Coturnix japonica: one gene and its partner. The protein of the gene in region 1 interacts with the protein of each later gene in a pairwise test. Links are inferred from orthologs where the notes say so. Each region holds a gene or a part of one and is shown on either strand. Other genes may lie near its edges.

The links. The genes of interacting proteins can lie anywhere in the genome.
Region 2: the proteins of INSR (region 1) and MAD2L1 interact in binary tests that used the Homo sapiens proteins (3 or more experiments, as listed by UniProt). The link is inferred for Coturnix japonica from reciprocal best matches to the Homo sapiens genes INSR and MAD2L1.

Annotation. Positions count from the first base shown.
Region 1 is NC_029543.1:3,195,233-3,205,084, forward strand, and holds the start of INSR (insulin receptor), read right to left. Parts: upstream 5,816-9,852; 5' UTR 5,580-5,815; coding exon 5,504-5,579; intron 3,406-5,503; exon of another isoform or gene 2,374-3,405; intron 2,125-2,373; coding exon 1,573-2,124; intron 1-1,572. UniProt on the Homo sapiens protein: Receptor tyrosine kinase which mediates the pleiotropic actions of insulin.
Region 2 is NC_029519.1:48,823,061-48,833,161, reverse strand, and holds MAD2L1 (mitotic spindle assembly checkpoint protein MAD2A), read right to left. Parts: upstream 5,766-10,101; 5' UTR 5,704-5,765; coding exon 5,628-5,703; intron 5,469-5,627; coding exon 5,322-5,468; intron 5,234-5,321; coding exon 5,113-5,233; intron 3,713-5,112; coding exon 3,609-3,712; intron 3,022-3,608; coding exon 2,849-3,021; 3' UTR 2,401-2,848; downstream 1-2,400. Other genes in the region: RPL7L1 (60S ribosomal protein L7-like 1), read left to right, coding at 167-276, 509-717. UniProt on the Homo sapiens protein: Component of the spindle-assembly checkpoint that prevents the onset of anaphase until all chromosomes are properly aligned at the metaphase plate.

The sequences.
Region 1 (9,852 bases):
AGAAACAGTCCCACCAACTAGTGGGGCCAAAGGCCTCACAGAGCAGAACAGACACCACCTCCTGGTGAGCACCAGCTGCCAATGAGAGCACGAAGCAGCGTTCACAACAAGGCCACGTCAGACTCACTCAGGTGCCTTTGAAATGTACCTCCACGACAGAATAAAGGCATCGCAGCATCACTGCCCCAAGGACAAGGAGCACGGAAAACCAAAAGGAGATTTGGCACAGAGCAACACCTGGAATAATTCCCCAAATTCCAATTCCAACCATATGGATACTTCAGGTTGGCTCCCTTTGGTAATGGAGCGTGGGGCAATGTCTGCTATCCCCCCCCAGGACCCCACGCTGAGCTGATGTGAGGGGCTCAGAACGCAGGGTTCTGCCCCAGAGGTGCAATGTTAAATTCCTCCAGGTTTCATGGAAATAAACAGTCACGTAAAGGAGAAGAGCCACACGTCCCAGTCTGCTGCAGCACAGCCCCAAAACTCGCAGGAATGAGGGATGATGAATGCTCCAGACACAGAAAACTGCTTCAGTTCAACCTCTAACTCTGGGCAACAGAAGAAAACAGACCATGAACGCACAGCAAACCAGGTGCACTGCTGATAATGGCTGTATACCAAAAGAGCTTCCAAACTAAAATGCTTCATAACCTTACGTTTCCTCTCAGAGAAGAAACACACGCAGACTTTCACATGATCTTGCTCAAAGCCTCTTATTCCAGCAATAAAAAATAACCACTTTCTTTAAAAGGAAGCGAGACAATTTGGGGTGAGGAGCAGCAGAGGGGAAACCACATTAATTTCATTAGTTGCTGCATACTGCAAGGAATTCCTTCTGAAATCTGGCACTCAGCACTCGGATTTGCCCTTTAAAGCTTGGCAAGAAATTTTCCTCAGCCCACAAGTTTCCTAATTTCATCTTAGGACACACTGCTTCATTTGGATGCACTACCACCGAGGAGACAGACAGCTCTGAATGTGTCACTTTCACCTCAATTCGCTTTGCTTCTCGTCGGGTGGATTTCACATAAATCAAACCAAACGTATAATTACAACCAAAATTAAGGTCAGCTTCAAGTTTGGAAGAAACAAACCTGTATGAAGTTCAAAGCCACCTTAAGGACGTCAAGAACTGGAGTCTGGGGGCTGGGATGGCAGCTGTGCACACAGCTCTGCAGCACCAAACCCGGCCTTTCCTCCCCTCCCCTTCTCCCAGCTTCCTGCTGTGTGCAAACAGTGCTCACCCACCCACCCATCTCACACCTTTTTATGGCAGGAAGGTTTCAGTAAAAGCATTATTGCATCCTTCCGGAGTCAGCTTTATTCCATAAGACCTTTCCCTGCTGCTCTGTATCCGCCTTTCAATCGAGCCAGGCTTTTAATCCCACAGCCCCAAAAGAATTCCTAATACTAGGACACAGACAACAGCTACACCCATAGAGCACAACTGGGAGCTCTGGGAAGCCCCTGACTTTCCAGGGAACCCAAACACGGCACTTTTGGGCACGTTATTCACATGGATGGGTAACAGCTGATGGGAGCATCTCAGCTGCCCTGCAGCTCACCCACCTCTCTGGCAGCGGTCGTGGGTCCAGCAGCGCTCGATGAAGATGCCGTTGATGACGGTGGGTGGGCAGTTGCTCTTCCCTTTCACCGTCCCAGGACACACATCTCCACACTCCTCCTTGTCATCCTTGTTGGCGATGATGTAGTTGTCCTCGACGGAGTCCAAAATCCTCGACCAGTCGATAGTGGACAGGTAGCACAGCTCGTTGTTCTTCTCGATGCGCACGGCACCGCGCGTGATGTTCATCAGGTTGTAGAGGCCGATCTCCTTTAGATGAACCATCTCAAAGATGACCAGCGCGTAGTTAAAGAACAGATGTGTTCCTCGGATCACCGTGAGGTTGGGGAAGAGGCCCTTTAAGCTCTCCAGGCCATACACACGGAACAGAAGCAAGTAGTCTGTAATCATAGTCAGTTTGGGGAAGCTGAGCTCGCGGAAATCTTCAGGCTTGGTTTTAAACATCAGCAGTATTTGTAAGTGGCCCTCAATCACCGTGCAGTTCTCCAGCAAGCTCAGCCGGGTCAGGTTGTTGCGGATGTCCATGCTTCTGCAAACTGGGAGGCAAAGAACAATGCTGTTTATTTGTTCTTATAAAGGTGACCGTTAGCTGGCTAAACACACCCATTCTTCCAACTGTATCCTAAAATGCAGCTGCATTCAGACTACACGGACGGGTCCTGTGCGACAAAACACGCTGCGAGCGTTAAGAAATAGAGCTGGGAACACTCCCCGGTATATGATTACAAAACACGACTCAATGGGGATTTCATAACGTTCTGCCATCTTGAGTTTGTGGATATTACCTCTACCACGACTGGAAAGGCAGCACCGGGCCTCGGACGTCACTCAGCGTTTACCGAAGTGGAGGTGTCCATGCAACACAGTCTGTTTTCTTTAGATAGTTGCCAGCGACACAACTACCTCACTGCGTTGTGCAATTGGTGCTGGGGGGGTCACTGAGAATGGTGGTGGGGAGGGGAAGATAGGAAAGGAGCAATGGGGAGAACATGGCAGCACTGGGAAGAGAAGGAACACATCCTCCCCTTGAGAATTAACAGCGCAGGATATTTACCTTTTTTGCTCACTGTATATACAGAGCAGTGACTGTAAAATGAAGCTTCGAGAAATCACTTGGCAATAATCAAGCCTTATAAAATTAAGGCACGTGCAGACGTTGGATAGCTCTGACTCTCCAGCTCCTGGTGGGTGCACTAAAGGTCACTGCTGTGTGAGTTAAAAATATACTTTATATGCAAACGTCTTAATGATTGTTTAAAACTTTGCTCAACTGCAATGAGAGAAAAAAAACCAGCCTCAAACTGGCAGTGCTGCTGTGGGACTCAGAGCAGCATTAGTGCCCATTGGGACTGCTGTGAGCACACAGCATCAGAGATGCCTTCTGCAAGAAGAAGTGGGGGCACAGAGCATCGTGGAATGGCAGAATTAGGGCTGGAAGGGGAGGAAGGAAAGGCCTAGAATAAATGTCATCGGTGCAACAAGGCTGGGGTGGGTTTTTTTTTAGTAACAATTAAAATCGGCACATTTGTCTCTGAATCATTTCATTCTGAACCCAACAATCTGCCTGTGCTGAGAAGTGATTGACTTCACTGCAGCCTCTAACGAGCTCCTGACATTCACTCGAGGAAGAGGAACGTAATCACAGCTCAGCGGTGCCAAGTGGAAGAGCTTCAGAGACCTAAAGGAGATCGGGAGGAGAACAAACTGCTTTCCAGCCACACGCGGACGGGGAGCAGGGCAGGCACAGGGTCTGCTGCTCCCTTCAGACCAGACCCAGCAGTCGGGGAGCAGCCCACAGGGGCTCCCTGCCATGTGATGGCAGTGCCAAGGAGTGCTGCTCAGTGCCCCTGGATGCACTGAGACCCCCACCCACATTGAGCACTCAGAGCACATCATGGGTCTGTATCTGAACCAATCAAACAGAAGGTGCTGGGATGGTAAACCTGTGAAGATTCAAACGCTCAGGCCAGATTTTTCCACCTTTAGAGAGAATCACGTTTAAGGTTTATCTTTCATTATCTTCTCCAGGTTAGTTTTGATGTGCTGAGCATCACCCACAGCTCCCACACTCCTCCTTCGCACCTCCAGGACCCACGAGAAGGAGCCGTAACCACATGAAGCCAAATCTGCTTCTCTGTCTCAGGGCCCTCAACCCCATCGTGTGTCTGAATCCCACTCTGCAGCAGCTCAGAGCACACCACAGCTGCTAAGTCAGCCGTGCATTTACTGTTACCAGGACAACGAGAAGCAGATTTAGGCGAAGTAATGACTGGCTTTGCTGCCAGAGAGGAGCTGCTCCTCCATCTCTGGTTACTCAGAACAAAATCACTTTAAAAAAAATAATAATCAAATAAATGAATCACGATAGACAAGTTTCATTACACCCCCCCAAGAAGAACACTGCAGTGTGATGGAAGTGCACCAACCAAACCTTGGGACCTCAGCAAGACACAGCTGCTGCTCATGGGTCTGCACCATGGGGCCAGGATGACACAGACAGCCCACAGACCATCGCAGATGATCATTGGGGAACCACAGGCTCAAGGAGCAGAGAATACCATCAGTGGGGAGCAGACACAGCCCAGAATGCAGCATCCACGAGCTCCATTGCTCAGGGAACAACACGTGTGTGCTGACACAGCCCTTGTACTGCATCCCCCCAACCCACACTGCGAGTGGAAGCACAGAACGCAGCACACATTGCACATATTGCAGAGCCTTCGAGGTGGGACCTGAGCGCAGCAGAGGCTGTGAGATCTCTGCTGCAGTGTCTGTGCTGTGAATGACACACATTCCAGCCCAGGTTTTGCTGCTGCACCTCCTGTGTCGCTCCTGTTCTCCATCCATAATTGTACAGCACATTTCCTTTCCTACTGTGGAGTAACACAGCGAGCACCATCCGAGCTGTTCACTTTTTACACTTGCAATAAAAAGCAGAATTAGCTTTTAAATAAGCACATAAACACAGCGTTTCGGTGTGGCAGCAATAACAGTGCTTTCAAATCAGTAACTGCTGTGCTGGAGCAGCGTGTGTTTTAATAGCAGTGCTATTCACCAACCAGCCCAGCGCTGTGTGTGCAGCCAGCTGTGCTCCTCTGGAGCTGCTCGGGGTCGCCTTTAAGGCCTCCATGCCAAACCTTTGTATGAGGACAGCACGGGGCTCTGCAGCACACAGCGGGGAGAAGCCGAGCAGCCATTGAGTGCTGCATTCTGTGCTTTATTCTCACTGTGTATCGACGTTTCAGCGATGCCCATCGCTGCGCTGGGTGGATTTGGAGCTATTCTCTCTCTATGCTGCCTTTGCTGGTGGCAAAGCCGACAGGCCGTGGGACCCGCGTGCTTTCCTCCAAAGAAACACATTCACCTTTACCAGGACTCACCGCCCGCACGCACACACACAACACACCGCGCACCCACGCGACCCGTCCCGCAGCGCGGCGGCTCCTGCTGCGGGGTCGCCCCATGTGGGCCCCGCGTCGGCCCGAGCCCCGCACCCGGCTCGTGGCTGCCGAACACCCACCCGATGGCCGCGGCCGGACGGGCCGATGGTCGCAGCGCCGCGGAGGCCCCGCGATTCCGCCCGGCTCGGCGGCCCAACGCGGCCCCGGAGGAACGCGGAGCACCCGCGGAGCCGCGGCCCGTCGCGCCTCCCACCCGCCCGGGGCCGAAGCGCCGAACCGAGCGATGAAGGTCACCCGAACCTCCCCCCTCCTCCGCCCCCCACGGGAGCGCTCCGGGCCCCGCTGTCCCGCTCCTGAGGCCGCGCCGCCCGCCCCGAGGCCCGGCCCTGCCCCGCCGGGCAGAGGTACAAAGGTACCGCTCCGGGGCCGCCTCTCCCCGCCGCCGTGCGGGGCCGCAGCCCGGGCCCCGCTCCCCCTCGGTCCCTCGGTCCCCCCGCTCCCCGCCCGCACTCACTTTCGGCGCGGCCGCCGCAGGCCGCCAACACCGCGGTCACGGCCAGCACCGCCGCCGCCGCCGCTCTCGGTGCCATGGCCGCGTCCCGGAGCCGCTCGGCGCGTCCCGGCGGGGGCGAATCAGAGGCCGCGGGGCGGGCGCGGGGGCCGGGCCCGGCTTCGGGTTCGCATCGTCCAGCAGAGCCCCGAGGAACCGGCCGCCGACCCCAGCGCGGAGCCCGGCCCGGCGGCTCAGGACGCGGCTCTCGGCCACTCCAGCGCAGGCCGGGCGGGCGGCCGCCTCCTGCCCAGTAAACAAGGGGCTGCCCCCGTCAGCTGCGAGCGGGCGGCGGCAAGAGGCGGCGCGGAGCCGGGACGGGACGGGGGGCGGAGCGGAGCGGCCGCTTCCACCTGCCGGGCCGGGGCGCTGCGCTCAGCGCGGAGGGGAACGGCCCGAGAGGAACCGGAGCGGAACCGGAGCGGAACCGTTCGGTGCCGCCGTGTTGGCCGCCGGGATCCGGCACAGCAATGCCCAGCACAACCGGCCCGGGCGGCTCCTGCGCAGGGACGCAGCGTCTGAGTCCTTTTCCTCCTCTTTTAATCGCCTTCGCCGCTCGGTTGTACGGAGCCATTACCCCATTACCGCACGTTTCCTGGCAACTTCCAGTAATTTTATCAGGCTTTTGCTACCACCCATTTCTACAAGACGTGGAGTTGCGTCAACTGCGGGAATAAAGCTTTGCTAATTCTGCCCCGCTCAGTTAAAGAGCTTCTTCCAAACCTTCGTCCCTCCATCAGCTTTGCTCGGCTCTCACCGCTCTGCTCCTCCCCCCGTGGAGCAGCACCGGGCTGCGGCTTCCAGGTGCTGAGCTGCTTTAAGACAGTTTGAGCTGTGTGAAGTATTTGTGCCATTAATCCCTATAGAAGGGAGCCACGGGGCTCTCCCATCGCTGTGAATAACAGGAGGAGCAGCAATGAAACCACAGCCGTTCTGGGGGAGCTCAACCCGACCCCTCTGTGATGTTTCCCTGTTGGACGGGGTAAGGACAGGGCCTGGTTCAAAGCCACCTGCACGCAAAGATCAGCAGCTGTGGCTGCTCCAAACCCTTTGCAGAGCATTGGGATGTTGAGATGAAGGGCCCTATGAGCAGCGCTGCCTTCCTTTGTGTGTCAGAACAGACCCCCAGGTCTGTTCTTGTTGTCATTTACTCCAGTTCTATTTATGAGCCCCACAGACTCAGAACTCTGCTCGGTCCAGAACACTGCAAGATGTGAGGGCAGGAGTGGGAATGGGCAGCAAAACTGCACTCCATGCTTGCAGCTCAGCCTGCCTCATATCAGCCTCTGCATAAAGCAGAAAGAGCCACACGTCATCCCCAGAGCTGCGTGGAATCCACAATGTGACTGTAATAGCAACCTGCTTCTGCTTACTCACGTTCTCCTCGCTTTCCATGTGATAATAATATCATCTTACCGATGGGAATGGGGAGGATTAAAGGCTGCAGCTCCATTCTCTTTCACTCAAACACTATTTTTAGTTTCTGGTTGCTGATGAGGACCATTGGTGTGCAGCCTGTGCTCCGTATCCATCGTGCTTTTGCCATCACATAACCCAGCAGCACCCGCATGTTCCTGGTTCTGTTCCCAACAGCAGCACCTCGTGCTCTTCTCTCATTTCCAACTGAATAAACACTGCTAAAACCATTAGTCTGAGGTATCAAGTACAACTCCTTCCTTAAGCATTCTCTCTCCTCTCCATGTATGTGTTTCTTAGGAGCAGGTTCTGGGTGCTGAGGTGGAGTTACCCCATGGAGGAGATGGTTCTGCTTGGAACAAAGCATAGGTTGCCTTATTTCTGTTGAGTCAAATGTGTGTGCAGCACACACCATCCATCCTCCCATTCTTTGGGGATGTGGAAGAGTTTCTTGCTTTCCAACAACAGCTCAATGTGAGCATGGCTGGCAGGATGAGGACAGAAGGTTCTGGAATAGCCTGCTCTGCAAGGCCTAGCACTGAGCACAGCACAGCTGGCCCTGAGAATCGCATCTCATCCTGTTTGGAGCCGTGCAGAACTATTGCCAGATCTCCCAATATAAAATATTTCACGTCACAGAGTGACCCAGCTCCTTTCTTACCCTTCCTTCCGTCCGCACCAAATCCGATAAGTGAGCGCTGTCTTCCCAAAGGGAGGGAGCTCTAAGGACGAGGCCCATCCGCCTTCCGTGCTGAGGGCAGAAGCCTCATCTTTCTGCTGCTGAAACAGGAAACGCTGTCAGATCCTTCCAGATAATTCCATCGCTACGTGAGCAAACACAACCTTTGCTTGAGGTGAAAATGGCAGAGGGCATCTCTGCCACGTGGCTTCAAAGCCGCCAGGGATGAGGAGCTCAGGAAATGGCAGCGCTGCCCATTGCAGCTCCAGCTTTTGTCCTGGTTGATGGTTGGGTGTCACGCGATGCTTTCCATTCCTTACAACCTGTTTGAACTCAGCACACGCAGTGAGCAGAGAAACACAGCCCAGCCCACAGCCCAGCCCCATATCCTGCCCCACATCAACCATTGCTGCCCCATATCCTGCCCCACAGCCCAGCATCCTGCAGCTCCATAGAGCCCCAGCTCCCCCCCCATGCCTGGTGTGCAGTTCTCTATCAGCAGCCACGTGCACATCAGTGGCTGCAGCCACGTCACTCTCACACACCGTATGCACACACTGTGCCCCAGGCAACCGACTGGCTGTGCCAGTTCCCAGCTACAGTTTGCATGGGGTTTTTCTTTGTTTTTTTAATTAACTAATGCACTTTTGTTGCTAATCGAGGGTCAGAATTGGAGGGATGGCCCCTCCGGGCAGCATAGCAGAGCTCAGCAGACCATAACCCTGTGCTCCACGTTGCTTTATCTCGTGTTTTGTGTTTTGGACAGCATAGAACTCCTAGTTCCCACTTTGATAAGCAGTTTGTTCTGTCGCTAGGAGACACACCCTTTCTTTGTAAATGTTACAAATCAAGCATATCTAATCCATTATTCACAAGCTGCTGCAGCTTCCCACTTCCATCTATTAAGAGGTAGCAATCGTGCCAGAAATGTCACAGTGGTCTCATGTGACAGGTGGTGTTGATTCAGCTCCCATGGTTTGTCATGTCACTGTTGGTCAATGGGAACGTGCAGCACAGCTCAGTACAGCGACCCGCAGTGAGGAGCAGCCAGCACAAAGCTGCAGGCCTTGGGAATGGCAGCAGCACTGCTGCAGACTGAGAGCTTTGATTGCTGTTTTCTGCTCCTTCGTGCTGTATTATTATGGCTGATGTTTCTTTCATGCTTGAGACTTGGATTCTGAGGTTTCAATTTCAGGTTTACGATGGAGTCAGTGAGAAGGGAGGTGGAGCAGCATGTGGTGAGCAGAGGGATGGGACCTCCATCCATCCCCTCCTGAGAGCTATCACCTGAGGATGCAAGGCTCAGGAAGGCTGCGTTCACCACCCTGACATGGCCCAAGTCTCTGACAGCAGCACTATTAGCAGTAGTTATTATTTCTACTCGCTGCTTGGAGTTGTGTTCTGCAGAGCAGGGCCCAGCCCTGTGTCTGATAAACATCTCCCCATGTAGATTTCCCAAGCTTTGGGAATGTTAAGCAATTCTCACTTGGCAATGCTTGCAGAATGCCATCTCTGTGTGTAACACCAGCCCATGAAGTGAAGCACATCAGAACCCCACAACAGAACATGGGGCCGAGGCCTGAAGTCACTGAGCTCACCACCAGCATTACCTGGAGAAATAAGGTCTGTCTGTGCCCCCACTGACTGCATTCTGTGACTTATATAATACCCTCCACACAGACCTTCAAAGCAGCTCCGAATTGCCATCGTTACTAAAGGAACTGAAGAAAAGCAAAGACTGCAACTTCTGACTGACAAAGCAATCACTGTGTGCAGGAGAGCTGCCCACAGGAGCAATTAATCCCTTTGGTTCATCAGTGCAGAAGGTGATGATCCTCCATAGGGCACTGCTCTGTGTGACAGCAGTGATGGGGTTGATGGGGTTCAGTCTCAAATCCCATCACACACCCACAAAATGCCAACACTGTGAAGTTAAATGGCAACTCATGTTGATTTGGAGGACTGAATGCTTCTGGAGGGCCGGCTGCTACTTCCCTTCCAGGGCTTTTTTTCACTGTAACATCCCACTATCAACACAAAAACCTCCAGCACCGCACTCTGCTCTAAGAGAGACGCTCAGCATCCACACACGGAGAAGCTGAACTATCCCCACCTCGTGGTCCAAAGGAGCAAATGGTGAAAAGCACAGCAGCCATGGGAGGTTCTTCAGCTCCTCCAGTGCCAACACTGCATGCATGAACACAAACACACACCCACA
Region 2 (10,101 bases), on another chromosome or scaffold:
ATTTGTAGCTGCCTTCTCCAGTAAGTGGTCAAAAATTCACTGACTTCACATCTAAAACTTGTTGATATTTATCACTCTAAAGCTACTATGGCTACTTCCCAACTTCAGTGTGAAGCAATAGAGTGGGACTCTCCACTTTTTAGTCTGATTTCTTGTTTTTGTGCAGGTATCCTAATCTGAAATCTGTACGAGAGCTCATTCTGAAACGGGGCCAAGGAAAGGTTAACAAGAAGAGGGTACCTCTGACGGACAATATGTTGATAGAGGAACATTTAGGTAAGATGTAAGATAAGAAAACAAAGTGAAGCTGTGGTTAAGGGAGATGTTGAGAGTTTGCAGTCTGACCTTAGAGAAAAGGGAGGGAGGAAAAATTGTGCAAGACTTTTATATAGAGATCTGGGGATTCTTGGTTGTGTGAAGGAATAGCTGCACATCTCTATGGGTGGTGTGTGTCTGCTGCGTGTTGCATGTCTTGTTCATTGTACTTTGCGGTTATTTTTTCCTGCAGGGAACTGTGGTATTATTTGCCTGGAAGACCTTATTCATGAAATCTACTCAGCTGGGAAGTACTTCAGAAATGTCTCAGACTTCCTATGGCCGTTCCAGCTGTCAGTGGCCCGCTATGCTGCACGTAATAAAGTGGGGTTTCTCAAGGAGATGGGTAAGCCTGGCTGCAGAGGTGAAGGAATCAACCAGCTTATACGGCAGCTGAACTAGACAGGTGAGGAATGTACATTTTAAATCCTTATTATCTGGCTTCCTAAGATTAACTGTATTGCCATCAAAGACGCGAGTTTATATATTATGGTGACCCTCACAGTCTCAGAGAAAACTAGAGATCATGGGTTGCATTAGCTATTGGTGCTAGTGGGCTATTCCAAATCCATTGATTTTTGGATTGCTGGGAAAAATGTGTTCAAATGACTGGTAATTTTTTTCTTTCTTTCTTTTCTGTTCTGCAGTCTCTGCAAAAACACCAGGACTTAGAACCTGCTCTTTTTCACATGTAATTTTCATGGACCTGGGCTCTCTACAATGATATACTACATCTCTTGTCTATTGCTACCTTTAAAAAAGAAGGTAAAGAAAGCCAACAAAATCCAGGTGATGAAGCTGCACTCCGGGCTGGTCCTTGAGAAAGAAACTTTATTTGGTGCAAAAAACGAAATGACTTGAACTTTCTGGAGCAATCTGATTTTTTTTTAAGGCGTTGGATTTTTTATCTTTGTTTTCAGTACCTTTTACTGCTGGCACTGTACCAGTCCACCCTCTCACCTTTGCTATGAAGCACGCGTTGGCATTCTCTGATGTAAATTTGTTACAAGGGAACAGCAACCATTGCTTTGATCCAGTCCTCCCCAAGGGAAGTGCTTAAAATTGCACTTTACTGTTTAAAGCGCACCTACTTCTAGGTGTAAGCAGGTAGTGCAGTCAGCTGCTTAACAACACCACTGACAGGCAGAGGGAAGTACTAGGCTTATTCCTCTGTTAAATACAGTCTAGCTGCAGTATGATTTGTCTTACTGGTTTATATAGTGTCTTTCTAATATTCTAAAATGGGACTGCTGTGGGGATGGATATTTCCTGGTAGGAAAGCCCATTATTTACACTCTGCAGCAATATTACAAAATCAATAGTTTTAAAATAAACTCTTTTTAAATGATAGTATTGTACCACTCGTGTATCAGTCAAACCATAAGTGCTTAAGTACTAAGTAACTCCAGTGTGACTGTTGGGAATGCTGAAAGCAGTGTATGCTAGTGTAAATTTTTTTTATGGAGCTTCTTCAGCTGGCCTGTTGTCTGATACTAATTTAGAAGGCAACGCTGTGCTTAATGATTATGGGGAATTAAGGCTCTTCACACTGGAGAAGGCTCCAGGGGGGGGACCTGATAGCAGCCTTCTAGTACCTAAAGGGGGCCTGCAGGAAAGAGGGGGAATTACTTTTTATAAGGGCATGTAGTGACAAGACAAGAGGAAATGGCTTTAAGATGTAAAAGGGTAATATTAAACTAAATATTGGGAAGAGACTCTTCACTGTGTGGGCGGTGAGACACTGGAACAGGTTGCCCTGTGAGGTTGTAAATGCCTCCTCCCTGGAAGGGAGCTGGGACAGGCTTTAAGCAACCTGATCGAGATGTAGGTGTCCCTGCCTGTAGCAGGGGTTGAAACCAGGTGATCTTACAGGACCATTCCGCAAAATTGATAGAGTCATCACTAATCATCCACAAACAGTATTAGGCACGAGTGGGGACAAACTACAATTAATGAATAGTTTCATGGATTTCACGTTGACAAAAGCACTTGATTTGTGACTGAGGTACTTGCGGCATTAGCCTGAACTGCTGCTATACAGAATTCTAACATCTAAAATACAAATTCCCACATTCTGTGACTAGGAGAACTCTATACAGTTTCAAGGTTTATTCCATAAAACAAGAATACAGACATAGAAAATGCTGTGCAGCTGCTGAAGAAGGACAAGACACACTGATGCAGAACAGCACCCTCTCCAGAACTGCAGTCTCATGTTCTTCAAAATGCTGTGTTTCATCTGTTCGGGCCTTTTCCTGCTCATCAGCTGCTTTTATGGTAAAAACTTTAGAATTAATCTTGGGATTAGATATGGATTATTTCTGGTCATGAAATCCAGACCTTGCATGAAAAACAGGCCTAATACTGTCATGAACACCTCAGAGCTCTTCAAACAGTGCCACCTTAATCTAGTGTTACACCACATTATCAGGCACAATACTGCACATTCAGCAAGAGCAATCATGTGTTCACAACATAGCTGCTCTATGAACAGACACTATACAAGAGGACAGGATATGTACAAGAAACAGTTTTAAGGAAAAGAATCCTTTTTGTAAGCCACCGTGCTGTTGACTTTATGGATCGTGGTAGTGAAGGAACGAAGACGAACCTCTTCTGAATTGGCAATGAATTGTGGTCCTGACTCTTCCCACTTTTCTGGCACTACCAAATCTTTATCTGTGTAAATCAGCAAGTCAAAGGCACCTGTAAGCAGGTGGGAAAAAGTTAATGCTACACACATAGGAATGATACCATAATTGAAGTTAAAACGCATGGAGACATGCAAGAAGGTTATCAGTAGTTATGGCATCTATAGAAAAAGAAATGGCAGTTAAAGGAATGAAAACAAATACTAGTTATCATTCCTGTAGTCGCAATATTTATGACAGCTGTAGGTCCTCAGATACACCAAGTTTCTTCAAGCTACTTAAATCACCTTGAATTGCACCTTTTGGGGAAAAAACGAGTTTAAGAGTTTAACTTCCAATGAAGTTGCTCCAAGTGCTTGATTGAAAGAGAGCACAGTATTTACAGTAGCAGTTCTTTTTCAGTTTGTTGTACAAGAAGCAGTACAGGACAATACTTAGAGTACTTTATCTGATGCTGCTTCTATACTGTACATAGCTGAGACTGTCTTGGTCTAACCAAACATATACCCAGAAATGCAATACATGACACTTCAAATAATAATAATAAAAACAGAATAGTGGAAAAGATTTTCTACAATCAAATGCTAGTTCAGGCTTTCTGAAAGAAGTGTCATTTCTTTCGGAGAAGTTACAAATACTCACAGGCAGTTTCCAGGAGAGGCAGAAAAGTTACCGTGGCAGTGATTTGTCTGATAACAGATCGAATTTCATCCTGAATGGCTTTCTGAGATTTGTCTCGGGGTGCGCTGGAAAAATGAGAAAACTCTTTAAGAAAACAACTTGCACCTCCAATACTGACAGCTTTCTTTAAACACAGTTCTTGCTGCACTGCTGTGGGGTATGTTTGCTGTATGGTTATGCAGAAGCATTCTTTCAAGCCTTAGGCTCACAAAACTGTAACTTTCAATTTGTTGTTTGTGAAACCTCGCAGTGTTTTTAAGGACATATTTGCTGTCTGGGTTGGGTGAGAGTTTTGGCAAAACAGCAGAAGAGCAGTAATACAGGACTTTGTTCAGTTGCAGATTACAAAACATTTTGATAACTGAATGATGGAATCATTTGAGTTGGAAGGGACCTCTAATTGTTATGTATTCCAACTCTCCTGCAATAAACAGTCACCTACAGATCCACAAGATTGCTCAGTCCTGCCAGCCTGACCTTGAGTGGCTCCAAGGATGGGGAATCTACTACTACTCTGGATGAACTGTGCCAGTGCCTCACCACTCTTATTGTAAAAAAAGAAACAAACAAACAAAAACAAGCCAAAAAACTTATTTCCTCCTTATATCCAATCTAAACCTCACTTCTTTTAGCGAAACACTTCACTCTTATCACACCCTGTGCCCTGACAAGTCTGTCAGCTTCTTTCACATAGCCCCCCCTCAAAATACTGAAAGGCTGCTCTCTGGTCTCCCCTAAGCCTTCCCCAGGCTAAACACCTCAGCTCTCTCAGACTATCCTCACAGGAGAGTTGTTCTGTCCCTGGGACCATTTTTGTGGCCCTCCTCTGGACACACTCCAACAGCTCCATGTCTCTCCTGTACTGAGAATTCTCAATCTGGATGCAGTACTCCAGGTGATGGCTCACCAGCGCAGAGCATACAGGCAGGATAACGTCCCTTACCCTGCTGACCATGCACAATTCTTTGGATGTGGCCCTGGATACAGTTGGCTTTCTGGGCTGTTAGGTCATATCCCTACTCAGGGATATGATTTAGTGTAGGGTTTTTAGAGTCAGGGTACTGGTTAGGCTGCGGTTGGACTTGATGATGTTCAAGGTCTTTTCCAACCTGGGTAATTCTATGATTTCAGGCTTCATGTCCAGCTTGCCACCAAGACCTTTTCAGCAGGGTTGTGCGCCATTCTTATGTCCCCCAGATTGTACTGAAAGCAGGGGTTGCCCCAACCCAGGTATAATACCTTGCTCTTAGCTTTGTGGAATCACATGAAGCTCACTTGGGCCCACTGCTCAGCCTGTTCAGGTCCCCCTGGATTGCATCCAGTCCCTGGAGCACATCAATGGCACCCACAGCTTTATTTGGTAACGTCAGATAGCTCTTAGGTTACAGAGGTAGCACTACCATACTTGGTCTTTCCCTTGTGTCTCCCAACAGGGAGAAGCAGGCACAGAAACGCTGTCACTCACCTTTCACCCTTGGCGCTCTTGTCACATTCAATGTCAAACTGCCACCGCTCCAGTACCTCATTGTTCTCAATGCTGGAGATGACCACCACCAGGCGCTGCACGGTGCACTTATAAAGCCACTCTGGAAGAGGCCGCAGCATTTACTACGGCTGTATGAGAAAAAGGGGAAGGAGAAAAGGGGACGGGAAGCGGGGGGGGGCAGGTCTCACCTTTCATCTGCTCCACCACGTTGTTGAGGTAGTTCTTCAGCTCGGGGTCGGTGGTGACGAGCAGGGTAAGGCCGTACTTCTGGACGCGGGTGAAGGTCTCAGGGGGGTAGATGCCCCGCTGGTACAGGATGCTGTTGATGCCATAAGCTGCGCGCACAAAGCGGGGAGGCTTCTGTAAGGGGGCCACCCCTCCCGCCCTACAGGCGGCCATGTCGGCCGCGGCATTAGAGCCAGCCGCCCGCCCGCCTTTTTCCCCCCAACCCGCCCCCGTCTCCCCGCACCCCTGGGCGGCCCGCAGCCCCTTACAGAAAAACTCGGCGACGATCTCCGCGCTGCCCCGCAGGGTGATTCCCTGCTGCTCGCGGCCCAGCTGCGCGGCCATGGCGGTGCCCGCCGCCCGCTTCAAATCACGCCCCGCCCCTTCCGGCCGACTGCGAGGGCTGAGCAGGCGGGATGCCGTGCTGCGCATGCGCGGGGTGCGGCCGTTGGCGGGCGGGGTTTGCGGTGTGTGGGTGCGTCCCGTCAGGTGCCGTTGGGTGCGTGTGTCCTTATGGAGGTGCTGCCTCTTCTCTGGGCTATTTCTGGTTGTGCTCAGTACGAAAGCCGCCCCGCTCAGCGTTTAGCAGTCGGATTGCTGTTAATACCCGCTATTCTCCTTCAGCCCCTGCGCTATTCCCGTCCCAGAGCGCTCTCAGAGCCCTTCCTTTCCCACTCTGGGATTTTCTCGTGCTTTTCTCCCTCCGAGGTTCCCTACGAGCCGCCTCCGCTGCGCCATTGTAGTTAGACCCGGTGGAATAGACAAACCCAGCGCTCATAGAAGCGAAGTGCGGCTCCTCAGCGCTCTGGTGGATTCTTAAGGGTCTCCCGTTGCAGGTAGCTGATCTGCTTCAACACAAATTGGTTTCTCCGTGTTTTGGCAGAGGCGGATGAGGAGCTTTTCCATGTGCTGCTGATGCCTGTAGTTCACATTTAGGGCATGTCCAGCTGCGTGACAAGCAGGAGGCTGTGGGGCTGTCACGGGGAGCAGTGGGGATAGTGCTGTGGGTGAGGGAGCGGTGTGTCTGACAGCCCGCTTCCTGAGCAGCTCGCGGGGACTCGGCAATGCAGATGACAGACTGAGTTATACGTTCTGGCACATCACGAGTTGGCCGTCCTTGCTTTAATTATCTCATGCTAAAGCCTTAATTTTCAGAAGGAATGTGAAATCCCAGTTGCATTTAATTTGGTTCTCTTATGATTCTTTAGTCATTGCTGTGTTTCTCAATTACATTTTGATATGACACACACATATATATATTTATTATTCTCTTTTTGTGGAATTAAACATCCCCTATTTATCTTGGCTTTTCTGCAACATTTAATGATTGCTTCCCCATGGCCATTGTTAATGAACCTGTGACAATCCAGATCACTGCTGCTCCTGCAAATTTTTTAAGGCAACTCTAGTCATGCTCCTGTAGTCATTCAGCAGACAAGAAGAAATAATCCATGTGTAAAGTTCCTTCCCAGGTTTGGGGCTTTTATTTTTGTTCTTGTTTAGTTTTTTAACCCTCGGGTCGTTGTGGACAGGTCTCTCCTGCCAGCAGAATAAAACAGTCTGTAGAATAAAAGTCCTGTTTGTTATAAAAGCCCTCTTATCACATTAACAAATTGTCATATTAAGTCTCAGCAAAATCCAGTTCTTCCTGTGCAGAGGAAGGAAATCTTACTGTGGGTAACAGAGCTCTAGTTCTCCTGTTCTGGTAGATCTCAAGCTCCTTTATTTCCTTCCCCACTTTAGGGGGAGCTTCTCTACTTACTAGCACATAGAACTAGTACTTTAACCTTCATCCCTCTTATTTTCTGCATATTGTTTTGAGTTGCCTTTGGGGGTTTATAATGCTGCCCATCTGAAACTGTCTGTGCCTAATACTGATGGTGAGTGTTGAGCTTGTTTGTTGACTTTTTGCTCCCTTTCTCCCTCAGTCCATATTGTGGTATTTGTAGATCCTGTGTTGGATGCTGTCTTAACTCCTGGTGGGCTGAGGCCCTTCTCAATTAGCTGAACTTCCACGGTTTCTAGTGAAATTGCTACTTTTTTATTATATCTGCTTAGTTCTGTGTGCTATGGGAGGGAACGATGTGTGGGTTGTTCCTGGCTAAAGGCTTTTCCTGAACCAGCCCAGCCATTTACAATCTCCGTTTCGTTATGCAAGTGTTAATCCGATGTGAAAACATCATTTAGCATGAATGAAGCTATGTCTTGATAGTGGCCTTCTTGTCTAGTGAAACAGCTTTTGTGAATTTGGGGAGTTTAAAAAGCTACTATTGCGAAACAGCATTCAGTGTTCTGATGGTTTTATCTCTAAGCTACCAGGAGATGGCACCAGGCACATGAATTATTTGCATCCTTTCAGTTTAGTCTTGAACTGCAGCGAGTTTGTTTTACCGAGTACTTGAGTTTAGACGAATTTTAGATGCATTTCTTTGCCAGTTCTTAAAACGTGTTCCAGAATGAAGGAGATACTTGGTCTGAAATCAGAAAATAAAGTTCGTGATAGAAATCAACTGTATGAAGATTTGTTTATTTTTTTTTAACTCTGTATGCTTATTTTCCTGCCTGCACCCTGCAAGTTGTAGGTAAATTTTCTTCCTCTGAACTAAATATTTTTGATTATAGAGGCTGCTTTTCTAAGAGATGTAAAAAGTGTGTGCACTGAAGTCTTTTTGTCTATGCATGGGTGTTTCCCATTGTAATATCATTTTAATATCGTTATGTCTGGTACATGTGGCACATTTCATACATAAAGTGAGAGCTTCTTCCACGGTATATCAGTCTTGTTCTGAACACCGAGAGCTAGCGCATATGTACACATATTGGCACTGACAAGCCTTTGAGAAGCCAGGGGGCACATTAATACATTGTGGGTATAGTTCTAATTGTATATAAGTATTCTTTATAAATGCAAACACTGGTATTTTTATAAGACTTTTTTCATTGACTGTGGGGAAAAATCAAGCGTATTTGTGGCACAATGAAAGTTTTTTCTCATGGTAAGGCATTTTGTGAAGGTGCACCTTCATTGATTGTATGAGCATGTCTATAGAATCATGCATATTTATTCAGCAGTTAACATGGGGCATTAATGCGTGTCATTTCTTTCTAGTTTAGTTTCTATAATTTATGGAATATGAACTGTATACATAAGCTGTCACTTTTGTTTACATAATAATTCTTTCAACGTTTCTCTGCTTTGGAGGAAGCAGATATCTACTACCGCATAGGTGTTGGTACTTGTATTTGAAATGATAACATAGATTGACAGTACCAAAACATCTTTGAATGGAGCTCCTTATCTAACACTGGATGAAAAATAACTGTTTTGATTTACCTTTTGCTGTTGTTACGCTAAAGCCAACTTAATTGATGAACAATTAATCTGAAGGGTTTTGGTTTAAGACAGGAATCCCGTTACAGAATCAGTAAAATCAGGACTTAAATGGGCCTTTCATGCTTTGAAAACTTTGTAGTGCTCAGTGATGTCACGGTAATAGGTGATATGAAAACCATTGAATCCAGCTCTAAGTCCCCAGTGAAACACCTGAAGGTTGATGATTAGAAAGATGAATGTTAATCCAGTTTGTGTCAAGCCCCTGTCATATCTGAAGTTCTCGTATTAATAAATTAATGGAAAATGATACAGTTCTTAGGTAGTTTAGACTTATTAAGAGATATACCACAGTTTAAATTAAAAACAGGTCTTTTCTAAGTAACAGGCTGAACAGACACATCAGCAGAGAGTTAGACTGTCGTGACATTAAGCACTGAGGTACAAAAGAATATTGTAGGTGGGTTAGCAGGGTTGAATGTACCATGATAGTGTCAGAAAGGCTTTTCATAGAGTATTGTTGCACAATTACAATGACTTTGATGATTTGGATGTTGTGTTGAGGGACATGGTTTAGTGAGAGCTGTTGGTAATAGGTGAATGGTTGGACTGGATGCTCTATTAGGTCTTTTCCAACCTTGGTGATTCTATGATTCTATAGTTGTTATTTGTGCTTGCTTTTTGTTGTGTCTTTTCTGATACATAACAAAGATGGACTTGTTTGAGTAATTGTGTCTTGAGAACTGCCTCAGAATTATGATGTCTAGAGAGACAAATAAATTGTGAAACATAGTGTTTGCATTAGAAATATGTGAAGCAAAAAAAATCCCACCATGAATCATTCCTTCATTTCCTCTTGAAAAGTAAACTTTCTGCATTTTTTCTTCATTTGCATCCCCATGCATGTTAGGAATCCCATCGTCAGAATGGTGATTCTTTATCAGAACAGGCATGCGAATTTTTCTTATAATTACTGAACAGCTTAAGAAAATATGAGAGAGTGACTTTCTAAGTAAGGCATCTGTTCCTCTATATAAGGAAGAATACTTTAGTAAATGTAATAGGACTTGTTGGAACTATACTTTGAACTTCAAAGTATACTATACCTCACCAGCCATCTTCATCTCAGTTTGATGCCTTGGAACGTCTAGTCCTATAGTGTGGAGACATTGCCTGATGTATGAACTTCCTGTTATATTTGCATTACAGTTCATCTGCTCTGCTGAGTAATAGCTGAGGAACCATGAACAGTTTGTCAATTGGATGAGTTGCTGAAAACACGTTTATCTAGGCAATACTTGTGTACTTACATTAATAGCTTAAGAATAAGTAAAGATGTCTTTGCACAAGAACAGCAGTGAACTAGATATGGGCAACATCAGGTACAAAATCCAGCTTATGGAACTCTACTT